Schizosaccharomyces pombe: one gene and its partners. The gene in region 2 interacts genetically with the main gene of each other region. Each region holds a gene or a part of one and is shown on either strand. Other genes may lie near its edges.

Region 1 (6,166 bases), on a different chromosome or scaffold from region 2:
TAACAAGAGGGATGGATAAATAAACACGCTCGCTGATAACTTGTAAAAAATAATCAAAATAAGAGTAAATAAAAATGATAAAATAAAAAACAACGATAACAAGGGACGAGTGGGTGAAAGGAAATTTTATGTTTGCGTTTTCGTTGAACCAGCGCAGTACAGAAATACAGAAAGAATTGGGAAGTACAATAACAGCTGGGATGTGGGATGTGGGATTTAATGGTAGGCAGGATAGGGTAAGCAATGCTGGGACAAAGAGAAAGAGGTGAGGGGGGTGAAAAAGTTTTGTGAAAGAAAGGATTGTTTATGCTACGGTTGGAGAAGAGAGGCGAGGGGAAGTGAGGATGGCTTGGATGTAGTAAGGATAATAGGAAATTAGAAATAAAAAAAAAAAAAAATTTGGATATGATACATAAATGGTAAAAAATAAATAATAAATTAATAATCATAAATTAAAGAAAGAAAAAAAAAAGTAAAGAAAGCAACGGTGAAAGTAGTTGAGGAAACTCAAAGAAAACAAAATAAACCATAAGAAGAGGAAAAGTGTTCAATCGTAATAAGAAAAAAAGAAATCAAAATATATTTAATGAAATTATAATAGCAATAAAATAAAGATTATACTAAATTCATGAATGATAATAAATAATAAACAGAAAAATTTAAAGGGCAAAAAAGTAAATTATAAAAATTAAATTAATTATAAGGTAAAATAATTTAAAAATTTTAAAGTACAATAATAAAAATTCGAAATATTTGTTTATTCAATAAACTAATGGAGAGATTTTCCATATTCAAAGTTTTGTTTCATTACTAATTTATAAAATGATACTTTTACTTTTGATTTATTTTATAAATTTTATTTTTTGCTTTTGATTTAATGTATTAATTTTATTTTACTTTTATTTTTTCACTCTTCAAATTCTTAACCATTCGCGTCTTTTCATCGCATCGCCCATCATATTTCCTGCCCAACAACTGTATTCATCAATAATATCGCTACTTTCATCCTACATCTTTGCCTTCGCAAGTTGCGCAAGCTTGCTCGCCATTTCGAGTGCTGATGGAATCAGCGATATCGATGGAGTTAGCGATGCCATCACAGAAATTGCAATTTTACACATCACAAAGTAAAACAATTAGCAATTCTTTCAAAATATCCATCCACTCCGCTTAAAGAAATCATTTCATCTTCATACCACCCCATTATCCCACCTTCTCTGATGGATAGTGGAATCCGCCTTGAATGTCTCTCTCTCTTACTATTACTTGCTTGGCATCTGAGCTGAGCCAATCCAATGTCGCTTAAAGCAGCCCAAAACTTGGGTAACATAGCGAAGAAACGCAAAGAAAAAAAAATTTCTTATGAGGAATCAGAATCTATCGGAGCCATGAATCATGGACACCACTTTCATATTTTTGGAACAAAGCAAGAAAACCTCTAGAATAGATTGGAAGCAAATTGATCCAACTACCACATGTCCTTCATATCCCCCCCCAAACATCATTCATCTATCCCTATGAGCCTCCTTCCTCAAATCCTTTTCCGCATTGCCTTCCCCTTCGCTATACCTAGACATTACAGAATTTATCCATCCCAATCTTCCGCCCCCTCCCAATTTTCAACTGCTAAACCTTGCTCTGATCCAATTTTTCCATTGTTGAGGCCTTTCTGGATGCAGCTTTCCAAACCTTTCAACGTCCCGGCTTGACTTAACTTCCACGTCTTATCATTCACAAAATCGGCAGTCCAAGACGCCAACTTTACCGACGCGTTTTACCCCATTGAAATTATGGATGTTTGCTTTACGCAGTGGTGTGAAATCACGGTGGACTAACGTTTGATGTGCAAAGGATCTCGTTGTTGCAGATAGTGTTACCTGCCACTCTCGGTAACAAATGTGGTTGACAAGCCGCGACTGATGTTTATCTCATATAATCATAGATCTGCCACAATCACCTTTTTTTTCCATTCTTTGCATATATAACATCAGTCATCTCTCCTAAGAAGAGCCGGTCGTCCCTCTGCTAAGCAACCATACAAAACATAACGTTCATCCTTTCTTTTTTGTTACATTCGTCTTCCTTTCTTCAGCCTAGATAGAATTGGTTTGGTGTTTGTGCTATTCTCAATTTTCCTCGTTTTGGATTGTGTTTTTCTTGTTTTGTTTGGGAATCATCATTCATCCATTAACATCTTCTTTACTTTTTTTTTTCATCGTTCATCGAATCCTACTTCCTCTTGACACATAATTAGTCTGCTGGTTTCTTTCTTCCTTCCTTTAAACATTTTGTGAAGAATCTCGTAACCTACCATTCGGTGCTGCTGTATTATAAATCTAATCTATTTGATTCGCTACGGATCTTTCTCACCTTAGACCTTTACTACCTGAAGGGTTCTTTTCTTCTTCTTTAATTCTTTGTCACGATATATTATAACTTTTCATTTTCTTTTTATTTTATTTTATTCTATTTGCTTGTCTGGGTTTAGGTGCTTTGTGTTCTCTTTCTTCTATTCTTTTTTTCATTGTTCCAACTACTCTGCTGACTGCAATATCACGCCTCTTTGAATTCTCGGGAAAAGGCTTATCTACTTTTCCTTTGTTTCATTCGTCTGCTGTCGCCCTGTAGCTTTAACGTTTTCTAACTCCGTCGCTGGTTTCGTCGATTAACTTTGGGTTTCGCATACGGTTTCGTGTAATTTCAAACATTTATTTATTATTTATTTATCTATCTGTCGGTCTGTTTTCTTTGCTTATTTTCCGCATTCATCTTAGCTTATATTTCAATCGTTGAATCCCATCCCTTGCTTCATTCGTTTTTCTCTTCTGCCAACAAATTCTTCTAGAGATTGCATCTTTTATCGTCGTTAAGGAGATTGGTTAAGTAGTTTCCCTCTCATTTTTTCAATCTCTCCTTTCTAGCTTATTTTGGGTTTTTACACAGTTCAAGTTTTCCTTTTATCTGCCTGGTCCCCAAAATCTCGGTTTTGCTTTATTTTCTTTCTTCAAATTCGACTTTGTGCGCTTGAAGATTCGATTTCAAGCAATCATTATTATTTCTTACACTCTTTCTTTGGATGACTATTTTCGCCAACACATCTATCTCTTCATTTTTGCAACTTTTTAGGCTTACTAAGCTTCTTTTTCTTGTATAATAATATTAACTGATTTTGGGTACGTGTCTTCAACATGGCATACCTTTAGAGATTTCTGTTTTTTTCCAGTTAGGAGCACTGTTTAGTCAATCTACTCGTTCTCCTCATTGTGTTCGTCTTCCAATTTTTGTCATCCATTTTTACTTTTCTACTAAATTTTCGTCGAAAGCTTTCATTGTTAGCTTTTTTCCCTTTCATAAACTCGTATTTTCTTCTCTTTGAGAAAAAGCTTGCTAAAAGTTTTCATTTTTCTCCAACAGCTGCTTAAAATTTCATCTTAGATATTTCTCTACACGATGTCGAAAGTTAACATGCGAGCTTTGCTCGAGTCCTTTAGTACCGTGATTCTTTCTATCTACCCCTTGGCTAAAAGTACAAATCAACAATCACATTCGCACTCCCTTTCACTTACTCAGTTTTTGTATGAAACGATTCGCAGAAGTCGTGTCGATTACACTACGTTGCTTCTTGCTTTATATTACTTCATCCGTTTTCGTGATGCTGCTTCTTCTAAGCCTACTAACTACATTCCTCTGTTATGTGGGCGTCGTCTTTTCTTAGTCTGCTTGATGGCCGCTACAAAATTTTTACAGGATCGTAGTTTTAGCAATCGTGCTTGGTCTCGCCTATCAGGACTTCCAGTTGACAAATTACTTGTTTTGGAATATATGTTTTACCAATGCATCGATTATCGTCTTGTCGTTCCTAAACATATTTTTGCTAGATGGTCTCTTTTAGTTGGTGAATGTTGTGCTCACGCGACTGCACGTTATGATTCCACCGATCCTAATGTTGCCTCATTTGGCAGCGTCGCACAATATTGGGTCTCTTTGTTTTCTAATGTTCAATCTTCTCTAGATGATCTTTTTTCCATTGCCTGTTTAACGAAGATAGCACATCGCAGAATGAATGCTAATGCTGCTTTGAAGAATCAGGCTACGAGGAAGCCCTCCTCTTCTCCTCAAACAACTCAAGACTCATCACCTATTCTTACGATGGCACCTTCTACTCCAGTATCTGTTGGCAGTACCCCTCCATCCACTCCATCTGTTTTACCCATTGCCAAACAACTGGCTCCTATGAATGTCTGTAAAGCACATATTCAGGCTTCAAATCAGTCCCGCACTTTGACTACTGCTTCGCCACCCGAACAAATACCGCTTATGGAACCGCAAGTTTATGTAAATCCTCAAGTATTACCGGGTCGGTTGTCAAGCCTTTCTAAGCCAGTTAGTCTACCACCAACTCCTTCTTCACCAAAGGTTGGAGTATATCGGCCAATGACTTCTAAGTCCAATGGAGGTGTTGCTTACTGCTATAATGCTCAAAAATTGAACAATGCTACTGGTCCAGTTACATTTAATATGCCTTTTGCAAGCGTCTTACCACTTGCCGTATCTGTGAGTTGTGATCTGGGTACAGCGTCTGCATATGTCGCGTCCCTCCCTCAACCTTGTTCTCAAAAAAGGCATTTAGAAGAAGACTACTCATGTTTAACGGAACACAGTGCTAAGCGTCGCAGTTACTTTTAATTATCAAGCCCAATCTGCGCTGTCTTCGCCGCTTCTTTCAAAAACTATAATATTTAATGAATAATTTCATAATACTGATGCCATTTTAACAGCGGATGTCAATAAATACCGATAATGTTTTCTTTCTATTGATTTATCTATTCAAATTGTGTGGAAGATAATCATGATATGGGAAACTTGATTAGGTTTATATTACTACCTTCTTTTCATATCTAGACTTGTCAATGTTTTGATTAAAAATCAAATATTGTTGTCGTTTCTATGAATCTTTTTTTAACATTCTAATAGCAAAACGATGTATATATGGTATGAATGAATTAACGATTGGCAACTATATTTACTTATGCATCTTGTAAATTGATATCAGTAGAGCAAGGTATTCAAAAAAGATAATTTTGTTGATTTCTTATGGCCATAAACTTGTCAAATAGTCAAACTATTTAGAGATTATGTATGTGCTCATTAAGATAGTTATATATTTTAGGCAGGTGAATGTAGCCATTTGAAATCTACTACTGAGCTCCAATCCTATTTGAAGGCTCTAAGAGTCCTTTCAATCATTTTTTAACAGAGTTGTCTAAGTAATATTTTTTCAACGATTAAACTGTGAAACATTGAACTAAAATATCTTGATCATTTACAAAAGCAGTAATTGCTACACCGTACTACTAGTAGAGCCAATTTTGATTACGGTCTTTAAAACAATGTTGAATACACTAATTGTAAGCGATTTTTGTAAAAACTAATAATTATACGTATCTTCTTGAACATCACGAAAATTAACTGATATTTCCCTAAAGTACAGTTGCAAGTAGGAAGGATTAAGACAAAACAACAAATTATATACTAAAAATTTTACAAATGTTAAAATCAATTTCACATATATATTTTGTTGTAATTAAATGCACTCAAATACTATAGCTTACAAGTTTAGGGAGCATTACGGAGAACATCCCACATATGCTGTTCTATGAATGGGGTTTGGATTTGGCCATCACCACTTCACCGATTTACTGGTTCTTTTGAATAGTTGAAGTGTATGAGTACAATTTCAGAAGTTGGACCTTGGGAGCTTGGTCTTTCCTTAGGATCAGGAGGACCAAATTCATCACGTTTAGCCAAACATCGTGAAACTGGGCAATTAGCCGTAGTAAAACCGATTGTAGGATGGTCCGAGCTTACTTCGAGCCAACAGGCTAGGATAGAGGGTGAATTAGTTTTGCTTCGATTGATCGAGCATCCTAATGTTTTGCAGCTCATAGATGTGATTTCAGCCCAGGAGCAACTCTTTGTCGTAGTCGAATATATGCCAGGTGGTGAGCTTTTTGACTGCATGCTTCGTAAAGGAAGTTTTACTGAGCAAGATACGGCAAAGTTTCTATGGCAGATTTTGTGTGGATTGGAGTATTGTCATAAACTTCATATCTGCCACCGGGATTTAAAGCCAGAGAACTTATACTTGGATGCCCATGGTTCTATC
Region 2 (4,852 bases):
GAGATCGACTACACGAATCCGGTGTTCCTTTACATGCTTAAGCAACAGTGGGAAGATTATCAAAAATTGCTTCTTTTACAAAGATTGGAGCAGATGAAAGTAATAAAGGACTCTGGGATTGGCTCATTTTCGCCATCTGTCGACGTACAGTTAGGATTTAACCCCGAAAATAATGATTCTATCACTCCTGGCACTATCTTGCCAAGTACGGTTACTGTAAAGACCCCGTGGCTATCAGTTTTACCCTTTAATTGTAAAAAGAATCATTATTCAGTTATAACACTAGATTTGGATGTCCCGAATTACGAAACAAACCGGTTTGAGACTCATTGCAACTGGCTTTTAACGAATATCCCCATTGAAGCATCCAAACGTGTGCCCATTGATACTTCTAAAGCTTTCTTTCAATATCGGCCTCCTATTGTTCACCGTGGAGAAGATAAACACCGTATCTTAACCCTTGTTTTGCGGCAAAAGTCATCTAGTATTAGTATTCCTTCTAATGCACTTGTCCGCGAACGATTTGACCTCTCTGAGTTTTGCTCAATCTATGATCTTGAACCTGTTGGCGCTCATCTTTGGAGAAGTGGCTGGGATTCGGACGCAGTTGCATTATTATCCAAGCACCCGTCTGTACACGAATATCGAGATATCCGTGTAGAACGTATCCCTGCATGAAACTACTAAAAGAGCCCCTAAAATATTGTTTTTATAAGTCATTTTTTCATTCCATGTTTCAAAACATTAGCATGCATTGCTTCCCTCCTCTCGTGTCAAAATAGTTTATCTTTTACATGATTTCCCTTCTTAGGTTTTTTTAAGACGATAGCCTTGTTCCATAGTCCTATTTTACTTTCCTCTTATTAAATCAATTGCAAATCTGTGAATAAAATGCCTATCCTATGCCTTAAACTAAAGTCAGTTGTAACTTTAGAACTGGTGTTTCCTCTTTACAGTATGTTTGCTCAATCTAGATGAAGTGTGAGCTGTATTGTAATATATTTCATTATAGCTTTCGCGAAAATAAAAAGATAGTGTCTGTAATAGTGATATTTGATAGCAAAACATAGAAAAAAGTGCATAGATGATCGTTTCCTAAAACAAGGTTATAAGAGCAGTCTTCTATCATTTCAAACTATATTTCTTGATTACCTAATTGATGTAGTAAATTATACTATGATCTCAAAATAACTTCTCTAAAAGAAGTGATGAAGCTCTCAAGAGTAAAACGACTGAGCAAAATTTTAATACGCTTTATATAACCAGCGTCATTAATAAGCGATAATTATTACATATCCGTAATGCTACTAGATACGAAAGCTGCTTCTTTGTATGAACGGAAATATTAAAAGAGCCAGTCATCTATCACGTCCTCAACAAAAAAGTCCGAAAGCTTAAAGGGAACTTGATTCAAGCAGGTTGCTTCATGCATCATAAGAGCCGTTGAATGGTTGAACGTGGTATTGCATTTTGAGCAAATTAAGTTAGGGGTGGGCCTTAAAGCCTTTTGAACACGGCCTTCACGACGGCGCATTCTCCTTCGAAGGGCAGATTTAATAGCATCACGAGCATCAGAAGAGTGATTCTCTCTCTCCTCTTGCTTCTTGGATCTAGACAAGACCCTTGCCATTAAGCCCTTGTCTTGCTTTCTATGGATAATTTGAGGAGGATCAGTTTGTTGACGAATGAGTTGAGCAATTCCAAGTTTTCCTATGACTAAAGAAGCATAAGTGACATTCCGGCGATTTTGGCTTTCTACGAGCGGTTGTTGGTTTGGCGAAGCAGCAACTGGACTACCAAATTGGTGGTTTTGTTGTATGGGCAGACAATATGCGTTCATGAATGCAAAATCATCCGAGGAAGCAAAGGAAGAAACAGATGATGGAGAAGATACAATATCACATAGTGAAGGATTAGCAATACTGGATAAAATTGGGGATGACCATGGATATGTTGGGGGGTTGTTCAGACATGGCTTGCTAAGAGGAATGTCTGCAAAATGCATGGCTTTGGATTTTAGTCAAAGAGAGGAGACAGGATACCACGATTACTATTGTTCGAGCAAAATAAATAATTAAATCCAACAAACGAAAAGATTAAGGCTTCTGATAAGGGCGATGAACACAGCTAGCAGAAGCTTCCAAAAAGTGCGAATTAAACACAAAAAAACAAAATTGAAAGGAAAGAAAAACAAATAATCAAAACCAAAAACGATAGTTTCAATCACTCCTGTTACACAGATGTTCACTTTTAAAGCTATAGTCTCACAAACCAACGGAAAAGTGGGTGCGAAATGGACAAAAAACACAGAATTGATCGAAAATTGACTATAATATTAATCAAATAGTCTCTTTATTAAATGGTGTATCTCAACTTTCCCGCAAAATCGAACTTCCAAAAAACGAGTGATCAATGTCCGAAGAGAGAGAAGCACTACTAAGAAGAACGAAAGCAAAAGGCTTAATGTAGTTCACAAAGTAGTATTGAAAAATAAGTTTGCGATAAAATGGGAAAGAGATAGTGGTCGAGAAATGGAACCAAGGAAAAGAAGGTGAGAAAATAAGAAGTACAGTGGGTAAAGGTAACAAGTATGTTACTAATGTGATGGCTGCTAAGTAACCGAGAGAATAAAATCCTACGGATTAAAACAAAACAAAAGTTACTTAAGTTGTTTTTTACATTTTAAGCTACTCAACTGTTACCATATCCTTGCACCGTACTTTTTTTTCTATTACCAAGTTGCTCACCTACCACATGAATTGGTTGCCATTTGTTTACATGCCTCATAGCAACCATACTTAATTAAAACATTGATAACTTCTCAAAAAAAGAATATGCATAAGAAAAAAAGTCATTTACATGTTTAAAAAAATAAGGCGACACATTAAATTAATTAAAATGTATCTGTTTCTCGAAATCCAGAAATGCTACTGAAACAACAAATTTCTCCTGCATTGGGTCAATTCATTGACTATCGTAGCGAAACAAATTTTAAAAAATTTATTAAATATTTTGGAAGTTGTTTTCCATTTGGTTTCATTCATTCGTCAACCGTTTATCACATTAAAGCCTTGTAAACAAATTGCACCACAAACCTTTCTTAACGAGACCCAATCTTCAATATTTAGCTTAGCATTGCTCCGTTCCATTTAAAATTAATCACTCTATTTTATTTTAATTAGAATTAACATGGAGCTTGCTTCAAACTCTTAAAAACCAATTGCACACCACTTAACCCTTTATAATATAATTGTTGTGAAAATAAGCAGAAGTCCAGCAAAAACTTTCAATTTACCAATCAATCAACTTTTTAAAAGTAAATCAATTAAAGTTGTATTTTGAAGTCAAATACAGCAGATTATGGATTAACAAAGCAGAAAAGGGAATTCACTCAAAGAGACGTAAGGCTTAATTCTTTCTCACAAGTAGTTTAGTTTTTCAAACCCCTATTTTATTGAAGATTCTAATTATGCCCTATCACTGTAACTAAGCATCCAAAGGAGTCTTAGTACCTGTAAATGAGAATAGCATTAAAGCCGTAAAAGCTATAAACTTTTGTAGCGTAATTGCTATTTTTATAGACAGTTTTATCCTTCCAGAGGTTACTTTGCTTATTATTTTTAACTTCCTCCAACACTATGCCAATGAAAATACGTTAAATAATCTTAGTTTTGAACAGCTCACAGTGGAAGACTAATAAACAAAACTCGACATAATATTATGATGATCATCCAGTCACTAAGTGAGCTATATTTTAAGCTAATGCAATCAATTTTCTTCAAATGCATGAAATTTAAAGGTTTACCCCAACAATATAATGTTGTGTTCAGTTGTGATAATTGTAATCTTTAAAGTATAGCTCGGTTAAGTGCACCTTAATTTCATAAGATTATTATTAGGCCCATAAAATTTGACGAAAGTTTTCTCGGTATTAGTATTCCAAAAAAAAAAAAAAAGAAAAAAAAAAAAAAACAAGGAAGAAAGCAGAGTATCTTTAAAGTACTTTCTGAAATATAATGTATAAGAAACTGTTTTAGTTCATCAATTACTTGAAAAGACGATTTAGCATTTTCAATAACTCAAACCATCATATTCTATCTGTAAGTCATTGTCAGAATCAATTAAAAACTTTCAACGTCCTTCGTATAATATGAACATAGAGCTTTGTAATACGAATTGCTTAAATGGACAAGGAATTTTCGCGTTTGTAGAGAATACTGATGAAGGATAGAACATATGTAACTCAGTATAAAATTGTTCCCTTATCTCAACAACCATAAGAATTTATATAAGTACAAGCAAATGCATCTTCATTATTAACTTTGATCGCTATACTATTATTGCTCCGAGTATGCCATGGACGCATTTATACCATGTTTGAAAGAGATTCCCCAATAGCTTATAAGGAGATAGCTTTAGTTTTTGAAGAAGAATCAATCTGACAATGATTCCGTCCTTAAATTATTTGACAACAATTAATTTATATTATTAGCGTTAATCTCGTTCAGTAAGATTAATTTAAAATGATACATACCAAAAACGATAAAGGAGCATTTTTTTAATAATACGAATATCTTTCACTTAACCGTCTTATTAATATACTTAAATATGTGAGTTTATGAGGTTGACTCTGTGTTCTGGCACCAAGATGTACTAATTGGAACCATCAATCCTTTCCGCACCTACCTACATTTTATCGTTAACCCTCATTTTTTTAACAGTTTAACTTGTTAACTTGATTATTGGTTCGTTTTATAATTATTAAAACAATTATTAATTAAAAAAGAAAAAAATGAAGAATACTATTGTTCAACAACAACGCTTTCTCCAAAGCATCCACAAACCAACTTAC
Region 3 (6,539 bases), 490 kb from region 2:
TATAAAACTTTAATATTTGGTTGGTTATTTGGGTTTGGATAATATGGGTGGACTTGCAAGACTTTCTACCTACATCCCTTTTTGTTTCTTCACATAAATTACTTTTGTTGGAGGATGTTGTCCATTAGGAAAGAAATTTAATATATTTCAAAGCTTTTGCTTAATGTACTTTCAGTTGACAATTGAAGCAGTTAATTATGTAGCCGTGCATAACAACACCTGTAGTTTTTGGCTGTAAATTTTATGCTGAGTAAATAGATGAAAGTAAAAAGAATGAGTAATTAAAATCTAAAGTTAATCAATAGCTAAGGTTGATCGTTGTTGAACAGAGAGGCAACTGTCGTGCTCAAGTGCTAACTGCTTTAAGATGCCAAAAACCATACCCTTGCAATTAGCAAAATAATGCTAGATTAAAAGGTTATAGTTAGATCAACTATGCTTTGTTTAAATAAGTAATACTTATAGCTTGATTCTGTTATAATCATGTTCTCTCCTTGTACCGTTAAAGAAAAACGTTCAACTTTGCGAAGTGTCGCTCCCAACCCGGAATCTTCTGTTATACCTCCAATTCCTTTACCATCAAGAAGGTATAAAACAAGACATATTGATGCACTTTGTTCGTTGATGCACCTTTGCTTATTGCGCAAAGATTACCCAAGGGCATCTAGGGCTTTTTCATTACTGTTGAGATCTAAGAGTGTTGACATTTCCAAATTATGGAACATTGGACTTGAAATTTTGAACAAAGTTAATCCAGAAGCTTCATCAGAGTATATGGAGCGACTAATAGCTCGATATCCTGCGCGTCCATCCATTAACAACTCTTATCCGAATCGTAATGTAAGTGTATACTGGTACAAAACGTCTATACTTTCATCTTTTCGTGTATTGAATTTTTTGTCCCTTCTTATTTGAAATCAATCATATGTCGCAATTCTATACTAACATTTACAGGCAGAACATTTTTTTCCAGCATATATCATGCTACTTATTCAGCGCCAAGAATACAATAAAGCTATGAAGTTGCTTGATGAGTATTTGCTGTTACCACCCTACAATCAGAATCCTGCATTGCATGAGTATTCCGGAATGTTGTGTTTTGAACTTGCCAAGGAGGAAGCTTCAGAATCTGAGCGAACTAAATGGATTGAAAAGGCGAAATACAACTTTTCAAACGCAGGAATTGACGTCGAATTGTAGATTTAACATTCCCATGGCATTTCAAAAAGCACATTAGTATATTTAATATTTTAGATTGACCATCAGAAAAATTATGTATATTAGCAAATAATAAGATGGGAAGATACATTTAAATTTAAATTTAAAACTAATCATTAGATAGCCAACGACTGTATAAAAAGATTGTTAAATATCTATAAGTTCAAGTTGGTATTTATATAAAAAACATAAAGAATGCAAAAAATAAGATAACGAAAGAAAAAATTATTTTGAATAATAATTTAAAACCAAAAAAATTAAGATCCACTTTGATCTGTATTAATCGTATTATACATTCCCATAGAAAGCAAGTTCAAAATTTCGTTAATTTTCTGTTTCCGTTGCGCTTGCAATGAGCATAATTGCTCAACGAGCTTTTCACGAGCAGCTTCGTTTTCAGCTGTAAAAAGATCAACTTCGTGTTTTGAGCTTAAAGACGAACGGTTCGTTTTAGTATCATGACCAACAAGGTTTTTGGTCTCCGAGATATCAGCTAACTCATCAGTACTCCATATTTGAGAAAAGTAAGTTACGTATTTTTTTAATTGATGAAGCTGAACTGTTTCAAGGTAATATCTAGCAGTTTTCAATGTATGCAGAAATTTTTTACACTGGTGAATCAAATCCTCCCGCTGATTTACCAAGTAGTTCTCGTCATTATTGGTACGTTCATTCCATAATCTTTGGCAAGTTTCAGTTTCCCGAACTGTTTGCTCCAACGCCTCCATTGCCAAATTATAGGTTAGTTGTTTTTCAGCAAGAGATGCTTCATGGCATTTTGAAAGTTCGCTCAGCTGAGTGAAGACATTGGGAAGGGTTTGGTGAGTAAGTTTATTAGAAAAGTAAGAAATAGGTTTTTTGGACGATAAGTGGTCATCAAGTGATTGCGGATATTTTAAGTTATCTATCAAATTATCCTCGATTTTGGAATTTAAGGGGGAATCATCATTTTCGGGAAAAGACATGTCTTTCGAAGACAAAAAATCTGTTGGGTATTGGCCCTGATTATTTGGTATGGAGGATGATGCATAAAAGGATAATAATAATCTCGCGCATTTCTTTGCACCATTTCTAGCGCAGATCAAAAGAGCGGTATCCCCATGATCATCCTGAAGGTTTATAATTTGGGCAGCGACATCAACGGATTGTGTTGCAGTTAAATTTTGCAATAAGATATCCATATAATAACGAGCGGCTTCCATCTTTGATTTAGAAGAAGCTAATAATGCGATGTGGTGAAAGACGGTTTGGCCAAAAGAGTCGTTCATGCAGATAGCAGATTGAAGCAACTCCGAAACTACCTCAAAAGTCTGTAAATCATAGTTCATGGTAAACATTACACAGCGCATCAAAGATGTTTGTTGAAGGTAATTGACAGCAACTACGTTGGCGCCTGCTTGCAATAGTGCATGCATCATTTCCAAATTTCCCATTGCAGCAGCCCAATGAAGTGCTGTATGACCATCCTCATCAATGCCAGCATTAACATCCCAATCTGATGGCCGATCATATACGAAATCAGGAGGTTGTGTAGTATTTGGTAATAAAAAGTAATCCAAGAGAGACTGCGCATAATTGTTTGAAGAAAACGGAGAAGCTTTGATATCGTGCAAAGATCCCGTAAAGGAATCAGAAGGCATATCGGGAGAGCGCGTGAAATCAGATTGAAGAGACAAAGCATCATGGATTCCTGACATTCTAGAAGTAGATGTCATATTATTGGAAGATGTGTAAGGGTAGAGTAAAGAATGCGAAGGCCGGGAAAATGACTTTTTTACTGGACTGTTTCGTCGATATGCTTCTGTAGGCTTACGATTGCTCTGAGGAGTGAACGTAGACATTGGCATGAACGCAGAGCCAGAGTATTCAATCAGAGGTTGTATTAAATCAAAAACATTATATTCATGAGCAAGTTCAACAGCTCTTTCAGAGGGTACCCAAGTTCCTGAATGAATAGTTAGTAACAGGCATCCAAAAAAGTATAAATTGATAAATAAAAACAACAGAGACAAAAATTTTATGTTATTTAAGTAGTTTTAAACCTATTGATATAGTAAGAAGTTAACACAAACCTTGATATTTTCCACAACCACCTTGAATTTTTTCATGAAGTCCCTTTTGAGCGAATTTCTCCAGAATCCTTGTCCTCCTGGGTTTATCGAGCTCTGCAATTTTAAGGATTTGCGTGGCATTAAGCCAGTTATCATGACAACGTTTCATTAAAGGAAAGCCATTGATCGTATACTCAAATACTTCCACTCCTGAATAGGTGATTTTATGTATTTGGTCGTTATACATAACGGCACTATTGGCAAGCAATTTAAAAAAAAGGAAGGAAGGAAGAGCTTCAAAACTTGATGCAATAACAACGTTTCGTCTCTCTAAATGTTTGTAATAATTTAATGTCTCAACTCCACAGCGCCAGCTATTAATATCATATAAAAAAAAAAACGAAGCAAATGAGAAAGAAGAAGCAAATTGAAATTTCCTCTACAAAATATCGATAGTTTTTGAAAACCGAGTATTTATAGCAGATAAAGTCGGAAATACATATGATACTAACTGCATGCACTAAAGAAAGGATATATTCTCTCAGCGGCGTTTGCCTCAAAGATTTTTTCAATTAAAAAGTATTTAACTCTATGTTTTGAGTTAAAAACAGATGTTTTTAAAGACCTCTGCTATCCCTAAAAATCCACGTATCTTACCAGCTGATGTAAGATACTCAACTACCAAGAACTTTAATATGTAAGGACAGAAACCTTTCGAAACTTTCCAGATCACGATTTGTATAATTTAAATCAAAAAGCTGTAGATTTGGGTTTATCGACTACGGAGCCGATTTAGTCCGGATTTTTTCAACAGCGAGATCTCAGAAAAATCGAAAAACACTGCTTCTTACTCACCAAAAAAATCCCTAAAATCACAGTAAAGTGCTTCAGGAAATGCGGATCCTTTTTTTGATAAAAAGGAAATTTGCTTGCTTTTTTAAGATCTCACACAAACAGAACTAAATCTTTCACCCTCTCTTATGGTGAGTTAGTGGTAAACGATAAATACTTGAAGGTTACATATTAGTAACTCAATTATTGTACCATTCGATTCCACTATGTTAAACCAATTGTATTACATAAATGATAAAGAATTTCATTGTTCAACTCGAGTTTTTCTAATAAACCATTTTTATTTATAGACTGCAGTGACTACTTATTCAAATTCACATTGAATATGAGAATAAAAACATTCCAAAATTTCTTAACATTTTCTTGTCATAATAAAAAGTTAATCACCAGGCTTCTGTTTAAAGGTTTTACCATTATTTAATATTTGGTATTTCAAACACAGAGCATAAATACCCGTCGCAGAATTGAAAAATAAAATCCTAAATTTTTTATAATTGCCCATTATATGCGTCTTTCGAACGTAAATAATCATCACTAAAAACCAAATCCTACAAATTTTTACAAAAATAATACACAAATACCATTTTGTGAAACATTAATTATCCCTCAACTCAATATTTTGGTAGCTTCATTCCTAACTGTCATCTTGGAAAGATTCGAATAACACAAAAGAAGAAACAAACACAAAAAAAACAGATTCACGGAACTAATCAAAAGATAGATGGATATGTGCAAAACAAAAGCTTAACAAGTAAACCAATTTCCTTCGTCTATTATAGAGAAATTTTTGAATACCGCTAAATGCAATCGCTTTATAGAAAATTCCTTCTAATATGAGTTGTATCTATCACCACAAATATACAGATAAAAAAATTCTATAACATATGTAAATACCAACTAACTTCACTCTCTTTAAAAAAGCAAAGCTAAAAACCAAAAAAGATACTTATCCAATTATTCTCTTTCCTCCTTCCAAATTTTTAAAAGAAACATTACCATAAGCTCATTTGGCTTGGTACTGCTGTCTGTAAGCATCCATTGCCTTTGATTCAGCTGCAGTTAAGTCTGATTTGGTAAAGTCAACAATGTCGTCCAAAGTAAGGATGGAGGAAACGGGTAAGTTAAGCTCCTTCTTCAATCTACCAATGGTACTTTCGTTTACTTCGGGGTCCAGTCGCTCTTGGCGGTCAAGCAAAAGGACGATACCAGCCAATTTTACGTGCTTAGGTTCTAAGAAGGAAATTGCTTCACGAATGGCAGTTCCAGCGGTAATAACATCATCCAAAAGTAAAACCTTTTTACCTTCCATTTCGGCGCCTACAAGGTTACCTCCTTCACCATGGGACTTGGCCTCTTTGCGGTTATAGGCAAATCCATAGCTCTTTCCAGTTTTTTCATAAAGTTTGACGGCCGTTATAGCAGCCAAAGAGATACCCTTATAAGCAGGACCAAATATGACATCAAAATCAACGTTCATAGCGATAATAGTCTCGGCATAGGCTTCTGCAAGAGCGCATAAATCGGCACCATGAGTGAAATTACCAGAATTGAAGAAGTATGGAGATTTTCTGCCTGATTTTAAGGTGAAAGTTCCAAACTTCAAAACATTATGTTCTAAGGCACGACGCAACAACTCAAGTTTATAAGACATGTTTACTACTAGTTTTGTTGATAAACGTTGATACTCACAAAAGAAAAAAGCTAGTATCACCTTTTCTAAGCTCTACATGGGGGTTATGTGGGGGAATAAACAAAAATCATAACTAAAGAAAAATGCAAGTTTGTAGGCAAACTACTCAATCTATAATCTAATGTGCAAAAGAGAATTAATGTCCTATCAAAATGGACTTTTTTCCTTTTATTAAAAAGTTTGACAAGTGCTTTTGAAGAAGCGAAATAATCTTGTCTCTGATAAAGTGCAATCGTTAACTTCCACTCAATTCAACCATGTTGGCTGAATTTTATCAATAACGCTCATATACTGGTTCACTCGATCCAAATTTCTGACATGTGAGTCTCCAGTCCAGAAAAGTTTCCAAGGTGTTTTGCTTGACTTTAAGGAGCCTACACTTCTTTCAAAGTACCATTTATTGACTGGATTAGTCAGGCGAGAGCGCCATATCAACTCTTTGGGAAATAAATCAGTCATAACATTAAACATAACATCAGATATTGCTGCTGAACCCTGGGCTCCTTGTGAGACGGCAAGCTTATCAAGATAAGGGACCTTTTCATTCGTTGTTCCATCTGGTTGTTCATAAGTTACAATGGCTGTCCCTAAATAGTCCCCTGCAATAATGACTGCAGCTAGCGAATTCTTCAACCTATCTAAATATGCGTCCATATCAAGCGTTCGCTTAAAGGAGTCATTAATTAAAACCCAAAGCCTTTCCCACGAAACGGAGCCATCAGTTAGAC
Region 4 (6,180 bases), on a different chromosome or scaffold from region 2:
TCTTTTAGGAGGACTCTTCTTCAACTTCTTTTTCATTTCTTTACTAGGTTTAGGAAGTGCCATAACCCAGTTTGGAACCTCGCAACCTGATGAACGCATTACACCAGCAATAAGCTTGATATATTCACCATCTTCCTTTGTAAAAAAAGTAACGGCCTGTCCTGTATTTCCTGCACGCCCAGTTCGACCGATACGATGAATATAACTATGAACACTTTGAGGAAAGTCAAAGTTGATGACCATCTTTACACCATGAAAATCGATACCACGAGCAAGAAGATCTGTTGCTATTAAAACCCAAATTTCACCCTTCCGAAATTTCGCAAGTGCTTCTTCGCGCTTGGCTTGTGGTAATTCTCCATGAATGACACCAACGTGAATTTCATCAAATAAGAGTTCTGTGTACAATGCTTTCGCTCTTTCTATATCTTGAACAAATATTACGACTCGAGGCTTTAACTCTCCATTTGAAATCATTTGACGCAAAATCACAATTTTGGAAGTATCCGAACCAACAAACAAGAGTCTCTGATCGATGCTATCCGTGGCTGCATCTTTCAAACCAACGATGATTCGAATCGGATCAACCGTTACGACTTTAGCTAACTCTTCGACGCGTGATGGAATAGTAGCGGAAAAAAGGCTTTTACAAATATTAGAGCTGGTGCATGCACTTAGAATATGATCAGTTTGTTCAATAAAGCCAGGCTCAAAAAGTCTATCAGCTTCATCCATAACAAAGAATTCTACTTTTTCAAAGGACAATCCGGTTTGTATTGCTTGTACTAATCTCATCGGGGTGCCTATGCACATGTCATACTTTTCCCGGAGCTTGGGCGCTTTTTCTTGAATTTTTTCATTAGATTTACTTAATTCAATTATCTTCAATGAAGTTCCAAAAGACAGCTTTTCTGCCTGTCTATATATTTGCTCGCACAGTTCTCTAGTCGGCGCTACGATAATCGCTCTATATCCACCCGGAACATGTAACTGAAGTTTTTGCAAAATTGGGAATAGATATGCAATAGTTTTTCCAGAACCAGTTGGTGCACATGCCAATAGGTCTCGTTTAGAACCTATCGTTGGAATGGCATATCTTTGAATTGTGGTACATTCTGTTATGTTTTGTTTTTTTAAGTTTTCACAAAGTATTCCTTCCGGAAACTCTTCAATTGGATCAACAGGATTATTACCAGTAACTTTAGCTTTTCCCTTAGTAATACCTTGTAATTTTTTTGCTTCTTTTTCTTTTATAGAAGGTTGAGGTACTTTATTCTTAAATTTGACATTAGTTGTCAAAAGTTTCAACGCATCCATTTCCTTATGCAATACTTAATTATCAAAGTTAAAATATTTTAGTAGATATTTCAACGAAGGAACAAAAATAAAAGATTGTTGAAATTTTCAATTATACATATACACGACTAAAGTAAGTATGGTAGCTGCTGGGGAAAGGCTGCACTAACGTCCTCTAGTTAAACCAGTACGTTAATTCAAATTGTGTATTCCAACAGCGTTATTAAATTTATGTATGCTAAGTAAACATAATAAATGTATTCAAAAAAACGCGATTTCTGCGTTTATAGGTTACATATTTTTATATCGTATTTACGAGAAATACTGCTATAGATTTTCTTTCAATTAAATAATTGATTATTTGTATTAATCACTCTTTTACCTATTTGAACAGGACCCTCAAATTAAAGTGAAGCTCAGTAACTTGGTATCCTTTAGATGATCATTAACGTGCGAATGCAAAAAGGATGAATCATGAATGGAAGCACGCGCTGTAAATGAGATAAATCATTTTACAATAGTAGATTGTTTTAGCTGCGCATAAATAAGTAACATAATAGTTTTGTTAGGAAGGAGCAATATATGTTTTTTCCACTTGATTCCATTCGAAAATAATATATAAAATAACTCGTGTTTTTCTATCAAAGTATGATAACGTTGATAAATGCAGTTTGACAGTGAGTGTCATGGATAAAATCATTAACTATCATAACTCGTATCATTAAATAAAGAACGTAACATTAAGACAAGATGTAAATGAAAGTTTCCAAGATTCATTTTTCTCGGGTTAATGCTTCTTCCACAGCATCGAGTATTTCCAAACTCAAATCTTCAGGGTTGATGCCACAACTCATTGCAATAAGACGACGGTAACTATTAACTGTATCATCAATTCCTAGTTCTTCATACAATTTTCTAATATACAAAGTATCTTTTTTGCGGGAAGCTTGGAGAGAAGTTAACTTATTAATTAATTGCTCATATTCATCAGAATTGGTCACGTTGTTGCAAGCCGGCTTTTTAAAATCGTTATTTAACGAAAGTCCGTCTTCCTTTTTTAAAAAGTCGGAAGGAAAACTAATAGATAATGAAGTATGTGGCTTGAGGCTTCTCTCTAAATCAAAGATTTGTCGTGCTTCCAACCATATTAGTAACCTCTTCGAAAGCTGCTGGTAAGTTTCTTGGGCCTCTCGAATCAAGTTTTCCATAGATTGACTATAAGTGGGGTTATTTTTCTGCAGAAAGGTCAATTCCTGATAAGTTCTGGAAATTTCATTAAGCGTGTCTTGCTTGAGACGATTCGCTCTAATCAAATCTTCTTCTTTTTCTCGAAGCTGAGATTCATACTCCTCTGCTAATTGAGAAAATTTCGAAGATATTGAAGGAATTGCCTTAACAAAAGCATGCGATGAGCATGATGGCGAGATAATAGCAGGGCTTATTCCGGAAAATGAAAAAGCACTATGCGAAGCATTTGAGTTTGACTGTAACAATGAATGTGGCTTTTTGTCAGCTTCCAAAAGATACTCGGAAGCTGTACGTCTTTGTCGGTTAGGAATAGAAGGATTGGCGTTATAACTTAATAAAGAGTTTACACAATCCATGGCTCCATTTCGAGCAGCAATTAATAGAGAGGTATCTCCATTTGAATCTTGTAGATTTACCAATCTCACAACATTTTCAAATGGTTGAATCGATATTAGTTTCTCTAATATGCAATCCAAATAGTATTTGGCCGCTGCAACTTTTGAAGGAGTTGAGGTTGATTGCACAATATGATGAAAAATTGACTGACCATTGGTGTCAACAGCATAAATAGTAGACTGGAGAAGCTCAAGCACTTGTCCAAAAGTTTGGCAGTCATAATTATTGGTAAAGATAACACTCCTCATCAATGGTGTTTGACTCAGTCTGTTACACACGCCAATGTCAGCATTGGCTCTCAGTAATAACTTAATCATCTCTATATGTCCCATTGAGCATGCCCAATGAAGAGAAGTGTGGCCATCATCATCAATAACACTGTTAACTTGAAAATCCGGGGGCGGCGAATACAGGAAGGAAGGAATGCGTCCCTCTTCTGGGTGAAGAAAGAAGTCAAGTAGTGACTCTTCATATTTGTCAAGCGGTGCCTCCAACATGCCTAACTCTTCAACAGGTTTTATAGTGTTATCATTTGGTGATAGCAGTGCATTAGGAGACGCTGGCAGAGGTGTTGCAGAAACTTGCTCCTCTGCACCAGGCAAATTCACTTTATTCATAGATGACTCAATTGTTGGTGATATAGAAGAATTCGGTTGTTTTTCATTGACGGAATGCAAAGTGCTACTAGAAAGTGACGACGGTTTACGGCCTCTACGGCCACGTACAGAAGGCTTTTTCTGCTTGGTCTGCTTCTTCTTTGGAGCAATTGCTTTTCCCTCATCAATGTCAAGACTCAATATTGGGCTCATTATTCCGTCAACCTTATACTTTGTGGCCAGGTCGACCCCACGCTGAAATGGAACCCAAGTTCCTATAGTTTGGTTAATACCGTCAATCATTTAGAGGACGCGTCCATAGAGATATTTAATACAAAAAGGTATTAAAATACCTCGATTTGGCTTAGTAAACACTCAATTGTTCGCGTTGTTCAAAGATAGCAAATCATGTCACAACGCGTAACAGTAGACAACTTACCCTGATATTTTCCATATCCACCTTGTACTTTTTCATGCGCACCAATCTGTACTTGTCTTTCTAAAACCCTTGTCCTTTGTGGTTTGTCAAAGTCAGCCACTTTCAAGATTTGTGTAGCATTCAACCAGGAATCGCGGCGTCTGCGCATCACAGAGACACCTTTAATAAAGCATTCATAGACTTCAACCCCAGAATAAACGGCAACATGTACTGCGGAAGAACGTGGAGCCATTACAGCAAAAGGCAGTTAAAATGCGTAGCGCGGACTCTTAAAAGGGTGCATGCATTGCGTTCGCTCACCCTACCTGCGTATACACATAACAATAGGGAAGGGTGGGGCAATACAGAAAATCAACTATGTAGTTACTGAATATATATTAGCACTAATTAAATAATGAGTATTCACTTAATGAAAGGAATCAATGGGAAGTCTCAGTTGCCAAAGAACTACACTTGTAATACTGAATTGCAAAGGAATTTAAATTACCAAAATTTTAGATATGTTATTAAGTAGAAAAAAATCTTATATATATTCCACTCAGAATTCATCTGCATTATGAGCATTTTCCAAGTAACGTATCGTCGTAGTCGCCATCTACAATTTTTGCTATTCTTCTAATTAAATCATAATTAATTTCGTCGTTGACCACGCTGTCTTGCTTATAAGAAGGATGAGTTGTAATGAAATTGCGTATCCACGAAGCAGCAGTCAAGCATTGGCCATTTGCTCTTTGAGAAATTAGGCGAATATAACGTTCAATTAGGCAAATAGTTTTGGCATCAGGATTACAAGAGTATAAATAGCTTCGAACAATGGTAATTAAACCTGGGAATCCGTTTTCACGGTGCTCACCATTAAATAACTCGTCAATTGTAAGTTGACGGAACTGACCAGATTCATCATCAGTACTTGCGTCAGGAAATGGATTGCAACGGAACCAAAACTTTTTACGATGAATGGCATCACGAGCATGAGCAGCTTTCATGTTTTCATCCACTAGCGATATCGGCATGTACAGATTCAAATTGAAGGATAGAATTGCACGAGAAAGCATCACAACAAAAATTGAATATGCCGCATTTTCAAAATCAGTTATTTGAATTTCCATTGATCTAAATTCTACACGCCAACCAATATCACTACCTGGTGGAGGAGGTTTAAAGCGCATAGATTGCCAGTTAGTTGAGTTTAGGTTCTCAAAATGAGCATTGGATACACTGTTGTCTTGTAAAATGCTGTCACTGAAAATAACCAAAGGATCACGAGAGAATATGTGAGCCATGTGCTTAGCCAATCTTTCATCAATGCAATCTTTTATTAGCTTATCGTAGCAATCTTGATTTATAACGACCGGGACGTCATTATATTCCGGTAAATTGCGCTTGTCATTCGAGATATATAAGTCAACAGAATCATACCTTGATTTTGGCACAGTTTTCATTTCTTCCTCGGTTCGATCATCGACAGCACCAGCAATCACATTCCATCTACAATCTTGATCAGCCAAATAGCCTCGAAATGCTGGAGTTCCGGCAGATAATGCCAGCATCAAGGGGGTAATAGGAGTCAACTGATCGTATAAAAGTCTAGCTTCATCACAACTTTTAGCTTGGAATGTAATTTGTAGACAACAGCATCCCATACCGAAACCCATACTGTCCATGTAAATATGATTGTCTAACGCTGCACCATCTCGTGCATTTGCATCTTCAGGAAACAAATTTCTATCCCAAGGAACGGTAGGATCGTGAAATGGTTTAATTGTATTTTTATCGAAGAAAATCGGAACATTCATGGCCACTTTTCTCCCGCGCCTTTGACGAATATTAGCAGTCAAGGTCGGGAAACGAACATGTGTGTTGATAACATCGTCCGGTAAGAAAAAAGATCGCGAAATTGCACCATTGGCTTCGACTTCTGGATCCGTAAAGCCTGGTGTTCCAAGACGAAAGAAATTAGTAATTGTTAAAGGTAGCTCATTGGGTAGTAAATGGTTTTCAATAATTTTTCTTCTTAATCGCATATTGTACTCTACAAAAGTAAAATCCTTTAAAGTGGAACCATAAGGCGCACCTGGTGTACTTTCCAACATATAACGACCATATTCTGGATGGAAAGTAGGGACCGCGTTCTGCGCATGTGGTTTGGTGGAACTCGTAATTTCTATAGTATCTTTGTTTGAATTTCCTCCTATGCGTTCGACA

Evidence for each region.
Region 1: mutations in rep2 (region 2) and pas1 are lethal when combined (synthetic lethality), as found in Schizosaccharomyces pombe (one study listed by BioGRID).
Region 3: of rep2 (region 2) and res1, extra expression of one rescues a mutant of the other (dosage rescue), as found in Schizosaccharomyces pombe (3 studies listed by BioGRID, with this or other methods).
Region 4: of rep2 (region 2) and res2, a mutation in one rescues a mutant of the other (synthetic rescue), as found in Schizosaccharomyces pombe (2 studies listed by BioGRID, with this or other methods).

Annotation. Positions count from the first base shown.
Region 1 is NC_003424.3:1,359,121-1,365,286, forward strand, and holds pas1 (cyclin Pas1), read left to right. Parts: upstream 1-2,012; 5' UTR 2,013-3,450; coding exon 3,451-4,686; 3' UTR 4,687-5,054; downstream 5,055-6,166. Other genes in the region: serine/threonine protein kinase Cdr2, read left to right, coding at 5,726-6,166.
Region 2 is NC_003423.3:1,715,377-1,720,228, reverse strand, and holds rep2 (transcriptional activator MBF subunit Rep2), read right to left. Parts: upstream 2,527-4,852; 5' UTR 2,006-2,526; coding exon 1,346-2,005; 3' UTR 907-1,345; downstream 1-906. Other genes in the region: mrpl35 (mitochondrial ribosomal protein subunit L35), read left to right, coding at 1-678; cytochrome c oxidase subunit VII Cox7, read left to right, coding at 4,793-4,852. UniProt on the Schizosaccharomyces pombe protein: Transcriptional activator which interacts with the mcb binding subunit complex formed by res2 and cdc10. Rep2 is required for the mitotic cell cycle start.
Region 3 is NC_003423.3:1,230,312-1,236,850, reverse strand, and holds res1 (MBF transcription factor complex subunit Res1), read right to left. Parts: upstream 4,266-6,539; 5' UTR 3,517-4,265; coding exon 3,291-3,516; intron 3,164-3,290; coding exon 1,476-3,163; 3' UTR 1,264-1,475; downstream 1-1,263. Other genes in the region: RNA polymerase I transcription factor subunit Rrn11, read left to right, coding at 484-840, 955-1,200; orotate phosphoribosyltransferase Ura5, read right to left, coding at 5,125-5,772; acetylglutamate synthase Arg6, read right to left, coding at 6,058-6,539. UniProt on the Schizosaccharomyces pombe protein: Acts as a positive regulator of the mitotic cell cycle and as a negative regulator of sexual differentiation. May be involved in the transcriptional regulation of the cdc22 and cdt1 genes. Is an integral component of the DSC1-like complex.
Region 4 is NC_003424.3:684,620-690,799, reverse strand, and holds res2 (MBF transcription factor complex subunit Res2), read right to left. Parts: upstream 4,266-6,180; 5' UTR 4,208-4,265; coding exon 3,976-4,207; exon of another isoform or gene 3,812-3,975; coding exon 2,070-3,811; 3' UTR 1,621-2,069; downstream 1-1,620. Other genes in the region: ATP-dependent RNA helicase Rok1, read right to left, coding at 1-1,317; glutamate-cysteine ligase Gcs1, read right to left, coding at 4,530-6,180.